Callithrix jacchus: one gene and its partners. The main gene of each other region encodes a partner of the protein of the gene in region 2 in a complex. Links are inferred from orthologs where the notes say so. Each region holds a gene or a part of one and is shown on either strand. Other genes may lie near its edges.

What was found. Proteins that work in one complex are often made in the same cells at the same time.
Region 1: PHLDB2 (region 2) and PPFIBP1 share a complex: the UniProt entries of both Homo sapiens proteins name them as parts of the cortical microtubule stabilization complex. The link is inferred for Callithrix jacchus from reciprocal best matches to the Homo sapiens genes PHLDB2 and PPFIBP1.
Region 3: PHLDB2 (region 2) and PPFIA1 share a complex: the UniProt entries of both Homo sapiens proteins name them as parts of the cortical microtubule stabilization complex. The link is inferred for Callithrix jacchus from reciprocal best matches to the Homo sapiens genes PHLDB2 and PPFIA1.

Annotation. Positions count from the first base shown.
Region 1 is NC_133510.1:43,717,262-43,723,038, forward strand, and holds the start of PPFIBP1 (liprin-beta-1), read right to left. Parts: upstream 3,657-5,777; 5' UTR 3,499-3,656; intron 1-3,498. UniProt on the Homo sapiens protein: May regulate the disassembly of focal adhesions. Did not bind receptor-like tyrosine phosphatases type 2A.
Region 2 is NC_133516.1:103,094,098-103,099,236, reverse strand, and holds part of PHLDB2 (pleckstrin homology-like domain family B member 2), read right to left. Parts: intron 1,996-5,139; coding exon 653-1,995; intron 1-652. UniProt on the Homo sapiens protein: Seems to be involved in the assembly of the postsynaptic apparatus. May play a role in acetyl-choline receptor (AChR) aggregation in the postsynaptic membrane.
Region 3 is NC_133511.1:127,207,303-127,213,041, reverse strand, and holds the start of PPFIA1 (liprin-alpha-1), read right to left. Parts: upstream 3,657-5,739; 5' UTR 3,424-3,656; intron 3,199-3,423; exon of another isoform or gene 3,034-3,198; intron 2,729-3,033; exon of another isoform or gene 2,515-2,728; intron 2,197-2,514; coding exon 1,933-2,196; intron 1-1,932. UniProt on the Homo sapiens protein: May regulate the disassembly of focal adhesions. May localize receptor-like tyrosine phosphatases type 2A at specific sites on the plasma membrane, possibly regulating their interaction with the extracellular environment and their association with substrates.

The sequences.
Region 1 (5,777 bases), on a different chromosome or scaffold from region 2:
GTGAAACCGTCTCAACTAAAAATACAAAAATTAGCCAGGTGTGGTGATACACGCCTGCAATCCTAGCTTCTCAGGAAGCTAAGAATGAGAATCACTTGAACCCAGGAGGCAGAGGTTGCAGTGAGCCAAGATCACGCCACTGCACTCCAGCCTGGGCAACAGAGACTCTGTCTATAAAAAACAAAAACTCTGCATCCTGCATCAAAATGTGACAGTAACCCTAATAGCTTCAACTCTCATATTTAAATCCATCTGTTTGACCAGAGTTAAAAACAACAACAAAATAATCATGATAGTTATGATTATGGCTTCCTGAAATATTTCACAACTGGCTGCGCAACTGTGATATTTTTTCTTAATTTTAGATCCAATATGACTTTCTAAAGAAATCTCTGAAAATCACAACTGGCTGTGCAACTGTGATATTTTTTCTTAATTTTAGATCTAATATGACTTTCTAAAGAAATCTCTGAAAATAAAAATGTCATTATGCAAAACTTTCTGCCTATGTTTTCCCCTTGAAGCAACGTTTCTTTAATAAAGAATCAAGACACAAACCCAAACATGAATGAATATACATTCATTAATTCACTCCTTTACTCATTGTTTTGAAAAGGTAATTTAAACTAGGCCAGAGACATGTAACAACATCTTCGAAAAGACAGGCTGGGCACCCATGGCTCACTCCTTCAATCCTAGCACTTTGGGAGGTTGAGGTGGGTTGATCGTTTGAGCCCAGGAGTTCGAGACCAGCCTGAACAACATGGCGAAAACTTGCCTCTACTAACAATACAAAAATTAGCCAGGTGTGGTGGTGCGTGCCTGTAGTCCCAGGGGAGGCTGAGGTGGGAGAATTATTTGAACCTGGGTGGTAGAGGCTGCAGTGAGCCGAGATTGCGTCACTGCACTTCACCCAGGTTGACAGAGCGAGACCCTGTCTCAAAAAATACAAAAAACAAAAAGACAAGACAGAATACTGAATACAGTGTTCTTTCAGTTAACAGTTTGAAAACTATGCTGGTTTGGTATATAAATAAAAAGTTTTAATGTAACAAATTATCCATATAATCTAAATTAACTCATACAAATACTTTATGAATATGAAAGTTTTAAAAGAAGTTAGCTAGTCAGTAACTAAGGGAAAAATGACCTTTTCTAACTTATCTCATGCTAGTACAAGGAGTAATAAAGAGACTAAATAAACAGTTAATTAACCGTCCCTCAATGAACTTGTTCGCAAAAACTGTCAATGATGTCCTTGAAATTAGGCACTATTGATCTGGAACTTCCATGTGTCCTGGATTTCAGGACATTTTATCCATTAAGGCCAGATGACCTTAATTTTTAAAGTTGCTACTGGAAGTATGACAGTTGTTGGTCAAAGGAATTTAAACCTGATTCTACCTTTCTCAATAACTCAAACATCTCTTAAGTTGTCTGTGTTTTACTACACCATATCTGCCTCATAAACATGGACTGAGAAAAAGAAATATTGGTTTAAATTAAGTATGCAAAATTACTGCTATTACTCAAACTGTGAATCAAATTTAGAGTTTTGGTATATTCAAGTCCGTAAACTAGGACTAGTTTCTTGGAAAGAAAGTGTATATCTGAATTTGGCCCACAAGGATAACATCCTAAAGATACCCTTCTTTACTTAGCCATCTGGCTTTTGCAGCCCCATCTTTTGGTATTACAAATGCAGTTGGAACACTATCAGCCAAGGAACACTACAGTGAGTTCACATTAGCCCACAGAAACTCCACTCCACAGCTCTATCCTACTGAAAAAGTACACTAGAAAATACGATATGTTTTATGTACTCCCCCAAAGAACATAAATAGAAAAGACTTGTTCATCATTATTGCAGAGCCTTTTGCAATTTCTGTGTCTTAAGCCAAAACACAACCCAAAATTTAAATGTTCTTGTCTTTCCAATAAACCAAATTTTCCTTTCTCATAAAGCCTGCTATTTATCCACTCGATTTAATTTTTTCAGGAACTAAGAACAATACAGACCCAGATATTTCCTAAACAACAACACAACCAAACACTTCTTTCTAGTTACGCAACTTAAAGATCATCCGGCTAGAAAGACAGACAACTCCATCTATAGTCCTCTATCCCATTTCCTGACTTGGGTTTACTAGATGTACTGTTGTGACTTCTCTCTCCATCTCCTGGAAAAGCCTTTTCCTTCAGGGGCCTGGGATATGGATTTTGACTCTCAATGAAGTCCACTCCCATTTCCTCCAGACCTGGCAAGAGTAGGATCCTCACTGCTGAGGAGGGCTTCTGTGAAAGAAAGGGGAAAATTGACTCAGGAGTCTCAGCGCCTACTTTTTTTTTTTCCTGCTCCAGAAGAGAGCCTTAAAGCATTGATGAGAGGGTCCTGAATCAGTGTGTGGAGCCAATTTCCCCAACCCCTCAAGAAAGTCAATCACACCCAGTTAGTGACTGGGCACACAAAATGTCCACACAGGAAAAAGACACGGCTTGAAACAGGAAATAAACACAAATCAGGATTCTATTCTTTCACTTCTTAAAAGTATCTTTTTTCTCCCGACAGGCAATTGTTTTCTCAAAATACCAAACTTGGACTTTGAAATCAAGTTCTCTTTCTATTGCTCTCTACTGTTCTTACTGAAAGCAAGGATTTGTTTTGGTCCCACAGCTTCAAAAATTCACGTCCCTATAATTAAGAGTTCATATGCCGCGCCTTCCACCGCATTTCCCTGTTAAAACTCCCTTCTCTAAAAAAGATCCCTGAAAACACAACTATCAGCCAGCCCCTCAAGTGGCCAAAGGAAACAGATCTGAAGATTTTCACAGCCATCCTAACCTCTCCAGATACAAAGCTGGCAGCTGAAGGGATTCTCACTTAAAATATGAGTGACTACGAGTTGCAGTTTTAGAAGTGTGCCCCCAAGAGACGAGTGTTCCCACAAGCTCATAATTAATAAACACCCCAAGTGAATTCTCACATCCCGACTGGATTACACAAAAGGGCAGTTTACATTGATATGTAAGAATAACGTTGATATTCTTTCACTTAATATATAATAGGCCACTGGGAGATTAAAAAAAAAAATACAAAACTTTTTTTCCTTTCAACGAGCATAATTTTTGAATCAATGATTCATAACTTTTTGTGGCATTTTTAAATCCCCCAATACACATAGACAGAGACACACACACCCCTGGTTGGGGTTCTCAAGTATTACTGGGAGCCTAGGGTGCGGGGGTCTAAAGATACAGACAAGACCTACACGTCCAATCCTGGAGTATTCTTCACGCACAAGCTCAGGCGGGGCCCCAGGAGTTATGCCCTACCCCTCCACCCCCAGCACCCCCAAAAAGTGCCCGTTCCCATTGGGAAACAGGAGTGAGTTGGACAAGGAAATCCACCCGGGGAAGAAGAGCAGCTGCAACACCCAGCTGCAGCCACACAACGGTGCCACTTCCCTCCCGTCTCGGAGTGGAGCAAAACGCCCTTACCTGGGGGGTGGAGAGCCGCCGGCAGTAGTTCCAAAAGTTCTTGTCCACCTCCTCACGGAGTTCAAAGCCCAGTACTCCCGCCCCGCCGCCGGCTCGCAGCACACGAGTCCTTCCCGTCCCTTCTCCACCGTGCCTGCCCTACACCATGTCAGGAATCCGGGCAGGCATCGAGCTGGGAGCTGACATCACTCCCAGTTCCAGGTACCTCCCCCTCCCACTGCCGCCCTTCTCTCCTCCCTCCCTGCAGGAATCAGCCAAAGAGAGTCAGCAGGGGGGCGGGGCAGGAGGTGCCTACGCGCCCGATGATTGGACTCGGGGAACGTCACTCAGAGGAGTGCACTAATTTTATACATTCCTCGCCGAGCCAGACTAGGGCTGGAAGTGGGTGGATGGAAGAAAATGTTGCCCTTCCTACTATCTCTAAGGAACGGGGATAATGCGATAGGGAAGAACCTGGCGGGTCGAGTCTTAAACTTTTCTCGTCGTATTTGCTGCGATTCCAGATCAGAAACGAAACTAAGCCACCCGAACACCCTTTTTAAGGAGAAACAATTGCCTGGGTGTCACGGGCAAGTACGAGCCCGGCGGCGCGTGGTGTAGAAAATGGCTAGCTTTAAGCCATGCAAATAAAGGAAAACGTCAGCTCACCCTTCTGCCCTATTATCCTGGGACTGCTGGGTGTTCCCTTAGACGGGGAATGTAGAACTTCAAAAGCACTTCCGAAAGGTTTGGAAGAGACTCCTGAAAACGACCCAGCTGGTGGTGTTATCAGCCATGTGGCTGCTTTTGCTTTTAGCGACGAAAATCACATCACACAAGCTTCTCGGGCAAGTAAAATTGAATCTCTGAAGCAGGAAAAATAACACGTTTAAAGACCTTAAGGCTGCTGTTTTAATGCACACCCTGAAAAGGATAGAGGAAGGAGGGCTCACAATTGAGTTCCACAAAACACATGAGAATAATTACTGTTGAATGGAACGGAACCAACTGCAGTGGCTGAGCTATCAATTAAAAATTAACTAACATTTATCCTTGACAGATATCATGCGGTATAATCCCCTCGGCTGACAGAAAAGAAAGTATCAGAAGTTGGTTCTTCCAAGGCAGATACTGCTTAGAGGCAGAAATGAATGGTGAAAAGCAGCTTTATTTGTATGAGATATAGGCAGCATATAACCCACCATCTTCTAGAAATATAGTGAATTAATAACTTTCTATTGTTTTTCATTGGTTTTTTTTTTTTTTTTTTTGCTTATTTGTTTTGAAACGGCTCACTCTGTCACCCAGGCTAAAGTGCGGTGGCATGATCTGGCTCAATGCAACCTCCTCCTCCCGGGTTCAAGTGATTCTCCTGCCTCAGCCTCCGATTAGCTGGGACTACAGGCCCCGACCACCACACCCACTAATTTTTGTATTTTTAGTAAACACAGGGTTTCCGCCATGTTGGTCAGGCTGGCCTCGAAATCCTGACCTCAGGTGATCTGCCGGTGTCAGCCTCCCAAAGTGCTGGGATTACTGAACCTCATTGTTTTTTAATTAATGACATGCCATACATTTCACCAATCTGCCAAAATTTGTAGAGGGATGCACAGAATCCACCATTGTGTCATGCTTAATCTTCACAATCATCCTGTAAATTGAGTGTTATTAGTGTTATTTTAACAGAGGGAATCAAAGGCTCAGCAAAGTTATGTAAGTAAATTTCTCCAGATCACCTAGAACTTGTATTGAAACCAAGGTGTATTTGACTCCAAAGTCATTTTTTTCTTTCCGTACTTAAAGTATTGAGTGTCCACAATTTACACTCTTTCAAACAATAGAATGCTACAAGAAACCCACAGTCTTGGGCCACTGCTCTCAAAAACCTACTTTATATCATTACCATCTTATTACTTGTCAGACCTGCACTATTCCAAACTCGTAACTTGAATTTCTGACTTCAGTTTCCCCCAGTTCTAATTCTTTCTCTGCACCACTACCACATGAGTTTGCTAAAACGTTTGGTTTTGTCATCAACATCTTCCCCTCTAAATCATGTCCCCCTTTCCCTGCAATTCTTATCTAGCTATTTAAAACTCTCCCTCTTCTGGCTTCTACTTAACCTTTCCCAGCTTATCTCCCACTTTGCTCCCGGGAATCAGTCTCTGTAGTCAAACAGGTCTACTCACAGATCCCTGCTTCATTCTTACCTTTCAGCCTAACCGGAATCCCCATTCAGGTGTTTAAGTCCCACCCTTCTCTCAAAGCCTAATTAAATTTAAGTCCTTGTCCTCTGCCAA
Region 2 (5,139 bases):
ACGGGATATTTCCTCCCGTCTTGTTATTTTCAGTGTTTCGACAAGAAGTAAAAATTCATTTTAAATGGAAAAAGACAACTCAATAGATCTTGTGAGTATGGATAGTTTGGAGTCACTGTCCAAGCTGAGTCAGAGCTGAAGACAGTAAGGGTGTGCGCGAGCAGTGTGCAAAAACCTGAGCACCACTGAGGCAACTCCAACTTTCTAGACAACCTGCTGTAAAGACAAATTTACTACCTAATTCTCGCTGAGTCACGATTTCACTGACTGCTTCTCTCATAACCACACACATGCAGATTTAATGCTATAATCAAAGTCAGCATTTCCTCATAGTCTTAAAGAGAAGCTTGTAAGATTCGGAAATTTCATAAAAGTCTCAACCCCTCTGTCATGTTTTTCAAGAGTTTATACTTGTGAGGAGTTCACAGATCAACTAAATTAACTGCTGTAGGCCTTCAGGATAGCCAAACATGCCTATGAATAGTGATCTGGGAAGAGGAAGGACAGCAGGAGAGAAGAGAACCATAGCAGCTATGACTAGTGAGCACGAAAATCCTGCATTCCCACGTATCCTGGAGTTGGTCTACAAGGCTGCCCTGTAGATACTGGTTAATGAAACAGTGAGGTCAATCATTGCTGGGGTGAACATTACCAATCGCTCCATCTCCTGCTCCCTGAGTCTTTCCTCCCTCTGCCGCCGGTGATAATCCATCAGGTCCTCACGCCCTGAAATGGAGCTAATGCTGCTTTTCCGTTCCCGAAGGACAGGCTGGGGGGTTCCTAAGGCCTGTCTGAGGCTTTCCAAATCAGCCTCATCAGACTCCACAGATCCACAAGAGAAGTTCCGCCTGGTCACAAACACTCTGTCTGATTCTTCAGCTAAAAGTGAATGACTTGAGTTTGTCCCGGCGTATGAAGCCCGATCAAAGTCATCAGAGACGCAGGAGGAGGTGGAGGCCAGAAGCATCTTCCGAGCTACTCGAGGACTGGCAGGGACACTGAGGGTAGAACTTACATAAGGATTGCCGTCAGAAGCAGAGGTTTTATAGGGTAAAGCCCCTGAGCTCAAAGAAGAAAAATTAAGGTAATTGTCGTTGTCTATTATGCTATGAGGTAGATCCTTTTCCCCAAGTTTTGTTCGTTTGGAATTGCCCAGAGAGTTTCTCGGAGGCAAGCTGAGGGGTGTCAGCTGGTTCTCTGTGGCTTTGTACAACCTGGGAAGTGACCGGCTGTAGGCTCCCATGTGACTCAGGCTGCTGCTGGGGTACTTCCTGGTTCTCAGATTGATGTTTTCAGATGCCAGCTCCTTGTGTCTGGTTAACTTGGGTTGGAGCAGCAGGCTGTCCTGAATGCTCATTTTCCTGCCTTGCTTTGGGCTTGAAGGTGTGCTTGCAGCTCCCGATCTGCTGAGAGGAGGGGGGCCGGCATCACTCAGGGAACTTCCATTCCACATGGCTAGGAGCGAGCCAGATGCCTGCCGACCTTCCAGGCCTCCCAGAAAGCAGACATTGTCATGCGATTTATTCCTGGAGCTATGTTTGGAATAGGGAGGCTTCTCTGAGAGCCTCCAGGCCCTTTCGCTGTCCCGGCCAGAATAAGGGTCAAAGTCTGCTCTTCCAAGTGGATATCCACTGAGGGAGGATGTAATGCTGAGTGAAGGAGTTGGAGGTTTCATGGAAATAGTTTTGTCAGTTCCATCATACGAGAACTGCTTGCTTCCCTGGATTTTGGCTAAGGAGGAGCTGCTTCTGACACTGGTTGCCACAGGAGAAGGGCTTCTCTTTGCAGGCACAGGTTGTGAGAGGGTTAAATAGGAGCCAGAATAGTCCCCATTGGCCTTAAATCTCAGACTGGAAGAGTACTTCTTTGGGCTAAGGCTCTCCATCACGTTTTGGAAATCGTTCTCAGTCGAATGCACCACAGAGTCTCCCTTTAAGCTCCCATTTTGTAAATCTAGCTCCTTTTGGCTATGCTCTTCCATAATCTTGCTGGAATCTGTAAAGAAATAAAAGAGAACACTTTTATTTTATTTCTGTAAAGAAATAAAAGAGAACACTTATTTAAAAAAAGATTTTAAAAGAACTGTTCCCTGTTAGGCCTACATCTCAACAAATAATCTTTCAGTCTGACCTAATGCAACTAACAAGCACATACTCAGTTTTACTAGTAATCCTGTTAAAACTGTACAGCAAATCGAAGAAGAATAAAGACCTTTTTATTGCTGTCCTTTTAAGTTACTTTTCTTTTGTACATAAGATATTCCAGAAGTTTGGGATATCCAGAAGATACCTTCTGGGATATCTTATGTACAAAAGAAAAATAAAAGGACAGCAATGACATTTGAGGGAAACAAATCTCTAACCAAGGAAAGGTGCAGGATTAAGCTGGTACATAAAAAAGACAATTTCTCCTTGATGTTCTGGCTCCTAGTGGAAAACCTGCTTCCCTAGTGACTAGCTAATGCTCAAAGGCATAATGCAATGGACCTTCCTACAGACGTCTCTGCTAGAAACATTAACTGCTCAGAAATAAAGTCTCAAGGAAACAAAATTCACACTTGGGAAGAGAAAGAAAAGTTTATGTTAGACACTGTTCAATAACATGAGGGTTAGAAGACGGTTCTTTAAATGTGGGCTCTGGGAGTTACCTTCTCAACAAGAAGAGTTAAAGGTCCTTTAGTCGTCAGAGGCAGGTGACAACAAAGAAAAAGGTATTCCACAAACTACTGACACGTGGTCAGGACGGTCTATTTAAAAAGCTGACACTGTTATAGCCTTCAAATTTTCTAGTACCCCAAATGCACTCCGCTATTCCTTGCAAATCCTCTCTTCTAGCAGAAACACCTATCAGGACCAACCTACTCTTCCAGGGACAGATCAGGTTTCTACCTTCCAGGATTACAATTTTTAAGAAAATGGGTTTGAACAGCGTTCACTTAAGAAACTAAAGCTTTAGCCTATGGAAATGTCTTTGAGTTACAAACTATTACCGCAAACGGAAAGGCTTATATTTCTAACTGATAAAAAAGGAGTTTCTTAGATTATCAGCAATGGGAAAATACAACTTAAACATTGTCATTGAACCTATGAGCCACTAAAACTGTCCTCCAGGCCTTGGGCACATCAGACACTAACTATGACCTCTCTGGTGATATAGAAACAGTATCACATATGGTTAGTAATGGTTTCACAATGTGGTGGTCTCTGTAACTAAGCCACAAGTTTAAGGAAGAGGTTCTGTCTAGCATTTTTACCTTACTGCCACCCCTCTAGCTCTCGTTGCCCCATAGGTGAGAAACTCAATGAACCCAAGCTTTTTGTTTTTTTTTTGAGACGGAGTTTCGTTCTTGTTACCCAGGCTGGAGTGCAATGGTGCGATCTCAGCTCACCGCAACCTCCGCCTCCTGGGTTCAGGCAATTCTCCTGCCTCAGTCTCCCGAGTAGCTGGGATTACAGGAGAGTGCCACCATGCCCAGCTAATTTTTTGTATTTTTAGTAGAGACGGGGTTTCACCATGTTGACCAGGATGGTCTCGATCTCTTGACCTTGGGATCCACCCGCCTCGGCCTCCCAAAGTGCTGGGATTACAGGCTTGAGCCACCGCGCCCGGCCCCAAGCTTTTCATTTTAACTAAAGCCTTCCTCACTCCCTCCCAGCCATGGACTAATGACCTTCACCCTGCTGCTCAGCTTCATATACTTTCTGAGCAAATTCAGGCAGCCTAGTAAAGACCTGCTTCTTTATCCACAAGGCCAAGAAACAGTCTGGCTGCCTAAATGCTGGTGACGGGCCACTGACTCAGCTGCCCCTAGAGGTGAAGCCTTCCCCAACAAACTCTGCCTCGGGCTCCTTATCCTCTAACCCAAAGCCCTTTCCCGAGACTTACAAACATAATTCATCTTTTTAAATGTACCTCAAAAAAAAATCAAGTTTTCTCATTCTATTTGCCTCCCAGCTGGGATCCAGTCCTGCCATCTAGTTCTCGGGAAGTCTTTCATTCCTGAGGGACAGGGCCCTTTCCGCCCCCAAGACAAACGTTCCTCTCGGCATGTGTCTACCACTATCGGTTCTGGTTTTAAAGGCAACACCAGCCTGGTATGAGGCATATCTCACCCGCTCAGAGGACTGAAACTGAGACTCTTCTATTCTGAACTGGCATCCCCTCTCATTGGTTTGCCATGCTGAAATTCCAGCAAGCTTTGGACAACTGTCTCAAGTTAAACACTCTGGAACTGAAAAAATAAGGAAATAGATGGATCCTGAGGACATTAAGGACAACTTAATAGAGAAAAAATTTCTAAACCACTGCCAGATGATGAAGAAGATGCAGAAGAAGCAGTACGAGAAAACACACCGACATTACGCATCCTGGCAGAAGGGTTCTGATTATTCAAGACTGCTGTTGGCTTCTCTTACAACGCGGACCCTTCCATGATACAGGTACTGAACCACAGCAAACGGCTGAAGGAGGATTGGTCCCATAAAAAACATTTTTAGGGGGTGTAGGGGAGAGACAGCGGGGGATGGGGAGGGATAACATGGGGAGAAATGCCAGATACAGTATGCACCTGAAGTGAAATCAATACATTTTAAAAATTAAAAACAAATAAATAACATTTTTAGAGAAATTTAAAAAGTAAAAAGTTTACTTTTTGTAAAATTACACTTTACAAAAAAGCATAAAGTTACACTGATTGTGCCTACCTGTTCTGCCTCCCCTTTGCTACCCCAGAGGCATCAAAACCAGCTTCTCCGCTTCCTCTGAAGACCTTCAAGATGATCCACTTCCACTTAATAAATAAATATATTTTCTCTTCCTTATGAACAACTTAATAACCTCTTTTCTCTAAATTACTTTATTATGATAGTACAGTAGATCATACATATATTAAAATATGTGTTAATTGGCTTTATTAGCAAGGTTTCCGGTCAATGGCAGGCTAACAGTAGTTAAGCTCTGGGGGAGTAAAAAGCTATCTGCAGATTTCCAATTCAGCGGAGTTGTTCAAGAGTCAGCTGTACATACACACAACCATACACACAGGTGGGGATCAAGCCAAAATCCTGGGAATCAGCACTGGCCTCCTCTGTCACTAGCACCCCCTTCCTCATTTTATCCATCTCTAAATTCTACCAACAC
Region 3 (5,739 bases), on a different chromosome or scaffold from region 2:
TCATGTTCTGGGTGGCAGTTATGCAAGTGTGTTAACTCTGTGAAAAGTCCACTGAGATGTATACTCATGATCTATGAACTTTTCTGCTGTATGCTACAGTTTTATGTATTGTTAAGTACACTCTGACTTGCCTCCACAATGTGCCAAGAGCACAAATGCACTTACTGGACTCATTATCTGGTCACACCACCAGCTGCTAAAGATGAACCAGATTCCAGGACAGGGAAGGGTCCAAAACAAGTTGACTTAATAGTTTCCATCTTTGAAAGCCTGGAATCAGGTGCTCAGGTGGTGACGTGAACCACTGGCATCGTCGCATTATCCGCAGAACTAGGCACTTCCAGGCTACTACACTGAGCAGTACCAGAAACAAATCACTGAGCAACCCTGTCACCAGTGTGACAACCTCTGCAGCCTGAGACTAACTGTACAAAGCTCCTGTCACTTCCCTGACATGTGCCCATTCTTTCCCAAACCCACCTTATTCATCACATTAGTATTTGATATACACTTCAATACATGTACCTTAAATTACAAATAAAACAAAATCCTGGTAAAACATAAATAGGCTAATTATTTTCAACTTGTAGTAATAAAATGTGACCTAAATAAACTTGGTGGTCTCTAAAATTGAATTGAGAAAAATCTTAATATTTCTCTAACCCAACAAAAAGGAACACATAGTGCTAACATCAAATTACTGTTGCTAAAAAGGAAATGCACGTTGGGCTCATCAATCTGTCAGGAGAACTGACTACAGCCCAGAAGTACGTCAAGGCTAGTTTACTCATTTGTGAATGTATCACTGCAGACCATCATGCGAGTATAAGCCTATGATTACGCAGGTCTACCTGAAGGCACCGCGAAGGCACCTGTGGTAAGTGACATGGCACCTAGAGGGCTCTGAACCACCTAAGTAACCCACTTCTCTCCTACTGTGCTCCGCGCCACTCACCTCACACTTTTCTAGTTTTTACCCCTCCTCCGTTTACCTACCACTAATTCATCCTCATTCAACTCCATGAGCAAAGTCTTTCAAACACTGGTCCAAATGTTATATACTCAGAGAAACAATTTCAGTTGTTCTAAGCTTTAAAAACCTTTTTTTTTTTTTTTTTTTTTTGAGACAGTGAAACAGTGTCTAGCTCTGTCACCCAGGTTGGAAAGCAGTGGTGCAATCTTGGCTCACTGCAACCTCCTCCTCCCGGGTTCAAGTAATTCTCATGCCTCAGCTCGAGAATAGCTGGGACTACAGGTGTGTGCCATCATGCTCCACTAATTTTTGTGTTTTTGGTTTTGCCATGCTGGCCAGGCTGGTCTCGAACTCCTGATTTCAGGTGATCCACCTGCTTCGGTCTCCCAGAGTGCTGGGATTACAGACATGAGCCACCACATTCGGCCTAAGCTTTAAAATTCTCATCTGCCAAGGAAAAAGTTTCTAAGGGAATCAATTTCCAGTCTTCTATCCCCTAAAACAAATGTGACTTACAAAAACCTAGGTGTTCTGAAAAAGGTGGGCTATCAAAATATTTTTTTCTGTGAAATCAATCCTATTTGTCCATGAAATTTCATTAGGAAATTGGAAATACATGAGAGACACAATCCGTGGGAAGAACAAGTCTAGGAAGAAAAGGCTAAGACAACAGAACAGAGGCACCGTATAGATTGCGGCTTCAGAGCCGTTTTTCAACAACTCTGGAGAACGAACTTCCTGAACCCAGGCAGTTCCCAAAGACAGGAATGAAAATAATGAGGTCTTTTCACAGGACTTTAGAGTACAACAGTTTGTTCTCCCTAAGAGGTTTAATCCCTAGGAACTTTGTATTTGACTTACAAACACCAGAAACCATCATTTCACAAATGGTTACGGAAAATGCTCATCTGAAACATTAACAAAGCATCTATAGAGTTCCAGGTTAAAAGCACTCATACCTGCGGAAGTGCCGTGTTGAGCTGTCTCTGCAAGGAATCTCTTTCATGACCAACCTCGTGTAACTTCCCCTGGGTTAATGCCAGCGTTTCTTGAGTCTCTCTCAGTGTGTCAAGAAGACGGTCCCTTTCTTCTAGCATGGAGACCATCAACTGTTCGAAATGTGAATCTGTGTCCGGCTGTGAAGGGGAGCCAGACCCATGGCTTCCGCTTCCTCCAGGGGGACCTTCTGCTTCGCTGATGGTCGGCATCACCTCGCACATCATCTGGAAATCAAGGCCCCAAGCTACGGTCACTAAGTGCGAATACAGGTTCCCACAGTATCTGTAGCTAAAAAGATGGGCAGCCGCATTATTCTCAGAACTGGTATGCTTTGTATGTAAAGAAGCTGAGAACATACACACACGGGGCAAATATTAAGTGCAGAAATACACGACATGAAGACATCAACACGGACAAAAACCCAGGGAGGGAGTCAGGATCCCAGAGGACTGCCCTAACAGCAACAACAAAAAAGGCAAACCCTGGGGTGGTCTTTTAGCAAAGCTGTACGTTTTCGTGGAAAACAAGTGTGCTTCTGTTACCTGTTTTTTCTACTTCCCAGTGGGGGGAGAGAAAGTCAAAACACATGTCACCCAATCATTTTTCAGGAAAAGCACAGAAGGAGCACACAGCCAACAAAACTGACAAGTACAAAATCCATCAGGCATCTTGCAGGAATGTGTGCGGTCAGCTCCCGGGAAGAACGGCCGGCTCCCTGAATTCTTGGGCTGGATTCGGTGAGCACTAAAAAGAACTGAATTCGTTACACGCTGGTAGAAGTGTTTTTCAACGGCTGCAACGGTTGGTCAGTCAACCTAACTTACGTAAGTTTACAACCGGAAAAAAAAAAAAAAAAAAAATTCCACAATGGAAATATAGCAGGTCGATACAGCCCGGGGCGGCTAGGAAAGAAGGAAAAGTGAAAGGTGAGATTATGAGAGACTATTAAGTGTCTGGAATCTAAAGACGGCGGGAGGGGAACGGGAAGTCGCTTCTGAGCCTTAAGGCAAGTATTCGGGGTGCGGTGGACCCCCGAGAGGAGGATGCCCAAGACCGCGCACCTGATGCGGATGGTTACCTCCAGCCTGCTCGCGCCCGCACTCCTTCCCCTCCTGTAGCAGATGCGGCGGGAGCCCAGGACCCCGGGGGTGAGGACCGTTGACAGCAGAGCCCGCCCGGGCCGGGGCTTTCAGCGGCCGCAGGTCCCCGCCCCTCGCCCCAGCGCCAGGGTCACGGGGCGCGGGGCTCGGGCAGGGGCGTCACGCAGCCCCCGGAGCCGTCCCTCGGGGCGCGGGGGTCCCGCCGGAGCTCCCCTACCGCCTCGCCCCCGCCCGCCCCGGAGCGCACCCTTCCCCGCCAAGACATCCAATCGGCTGCGCGGCCGCCGCGGGGATCGGGACCCGCCGGGAACGCCTGGGCCCCGGGTCTGCCTCAGTGTCCCGCTCCCTTACCTTGCTCGCCGGCGGGAGCGGACGAGGAGGCTCTGCGGCGGCTCGCGGGCGGCTGCTCGCTCCAGGCGAGCTTGAGAACAGACGAAGGCAGCCCGCGGCCGGCGTCAGCCTGCCCGCCCCACGCCGCGGCCCCGGGGCCCGCCGCCCCAGTCACTAAGGCCGGCCCGCGGCCGGACACTGGCGGAGCGGAGGAGGAGCGGGCCCGGCTGCGCGGCGCCGGCGTCAACGTGCCCGACGTCGGGCGCGTCGGCGCGAGCGTCAGCACTGCCCCGGGGGCGGGGCCCGAGGAGCTCTGCGGCCCGAGTGCGCAAGTGCCGTCTCCTCAGGAGGGGGCGGCCGGCGGCTTCAGGGCGCTGATTGGCTGAACGTGACGGAGCCCCGCCCTTCCATTCCACGCCCAGGTTGGGGGCGGCGTCCCCGGGATGAGCCACAGGTGGGAGCTCAGGTGCTCGCGGGGTCCCCAGTCTCCTCCCACAGCTGCAGGTACAGCGGAGGCCTCTGCCGAGCGTCAGTCCGCCGCGCCTCGGGTTCTGAGCCGGACCAGTCCGGCACGTCAGGTCCCTCCCGAGCTGGAGGCTCTGGATTCCCATCTTGCGGCAGAGCGAGCCAAGGCTTCAGCCACCGCCTGGGGCCCCGACTGCGCCCTCCGCGTCGCTCCCAGAGTCTCCCCGGGCCTGATCTGGGTTCAGAAGGACGCGCTTCCCTCCAGGACCCACTTACTGAGCGCTGCCTGCCGCACCTGGGGACGCCCCGGCGCAGCGTCCAGCGGGCAGACTTTGCCGCTGTGGTTTCACACTGCAGCGAGGGCCCGGTGGGTCCGGGCGACTCGGGAAACACGCCTGGGCTTCAGCGCCTCCGATGTGGGATGGGAAAATGATGGAGACCTACCTGCCAGGCTGCTTTAAGATGTCAATCAGATGTAAAGAGCGACTGGTTGAGAAGCTGACGGGCAGCACTGCACGAGGCTTGGTCATTTGATCTTTTCCGCAAGCATTTTTAAACACCTACCATGGGCCAGGTCCTGTGCTGGATGTTGCAGACACGGAGATGAATAGAGACGCCGCTAATAAATTTAGTAAATTAAAGCGGATGCTCTCCCGATCTTCCCAGAATTTGACTCGAGCGCTGGTCTTCACAAACCAACATGTCAGGAGACCATCGCCGGTCTCCACTGACCACTGCTGTTGGTGTGAGGCAGCCAAGAGCCCCTCAGAACGAATCAAGTCTGAGAACAGGCTGCATAGGGGCTAGGAGAGGGAAACGTGAGCCCGTCCAAGGTGAATTCCCTGATTCCACCTTGTGAACGCACGGAGAACAAGCACTACCTCCGACTAACTTTCTCACCTACCAGGGTCTGGTACACCTGCCATTAATTTATTCATTCATTCGATAAATATTTATTGACTGACTACATGTAAACATGAATTTGTGCTTTTTGCCCCTAGTTTCTTGCTATTTTAAACACGTTAATGGCCAGGTGAGGCCAGGTGCAGTGGCTCACGCCTGTAATCCCAGCACTTTGGGAGGCCTAGGCTGGTGGATCACAAGGTCAACATGGTGAAGCACCAACCCTACAAAAACCAGCCTGGCCAACATGGTGAAGCCCCATCCCTACGAAAAATACAAAAAAATTAGCCAGGTGTGGTGGTGGGCATCTGTAATCCCAGCTACTCAGGAGGGTGAGGTGGAAGAATCACTCGAACCTGGGAGGCTGAGGTTGCAGTGAGCCAAGATCTTTCCCTGGAACTCCAGCCTGAGGCAAGGTGCAGTGGCTCACGTCTGGTAATCCCAGCACTTTGGGAGGCCAACTTGGAGGATTGCTTGAGCCTGGGCAATACAGGGAAGCCTGTGTCTATACAAAAAAATTAAAACTTGGCCGGGCGCGGTGGCTCAAGGGTGTAATCCCAGCACTTTGGGAGGCCGAGACGGGTGGATCACGAGGTCGAGAGATCGAGACCATCCCGGTCAACATGGTGAAACCCCGCCTCTACTAAAAATACAAAAAATTAGCTGGGCATGGTGGCGCGTGCCTGTAATCCCAGCTACTCGGGAGGCTGAGGCAGAATTGCCTGAACCCAGGAGGCGGAGGTTGCGGTGAGCCGAGATCGCATTGCACTCCAGCCTGGGTAACAAGAGCGAAACTCCGTCTCAAAAAAAAAATTAAAACTTAGTCCAGCGTGGTGAGCCAAGGCTGAGGTGGAAGGATCACTTGAGCCTGAGAGGTGGAGGCTGCAGTGAGCTGAGATTGTGCCACTGCACTCTGGCCTAGATGACAAAGTGAGACCTCATCTCAAAAATAAAAAATGAAACTGTAAA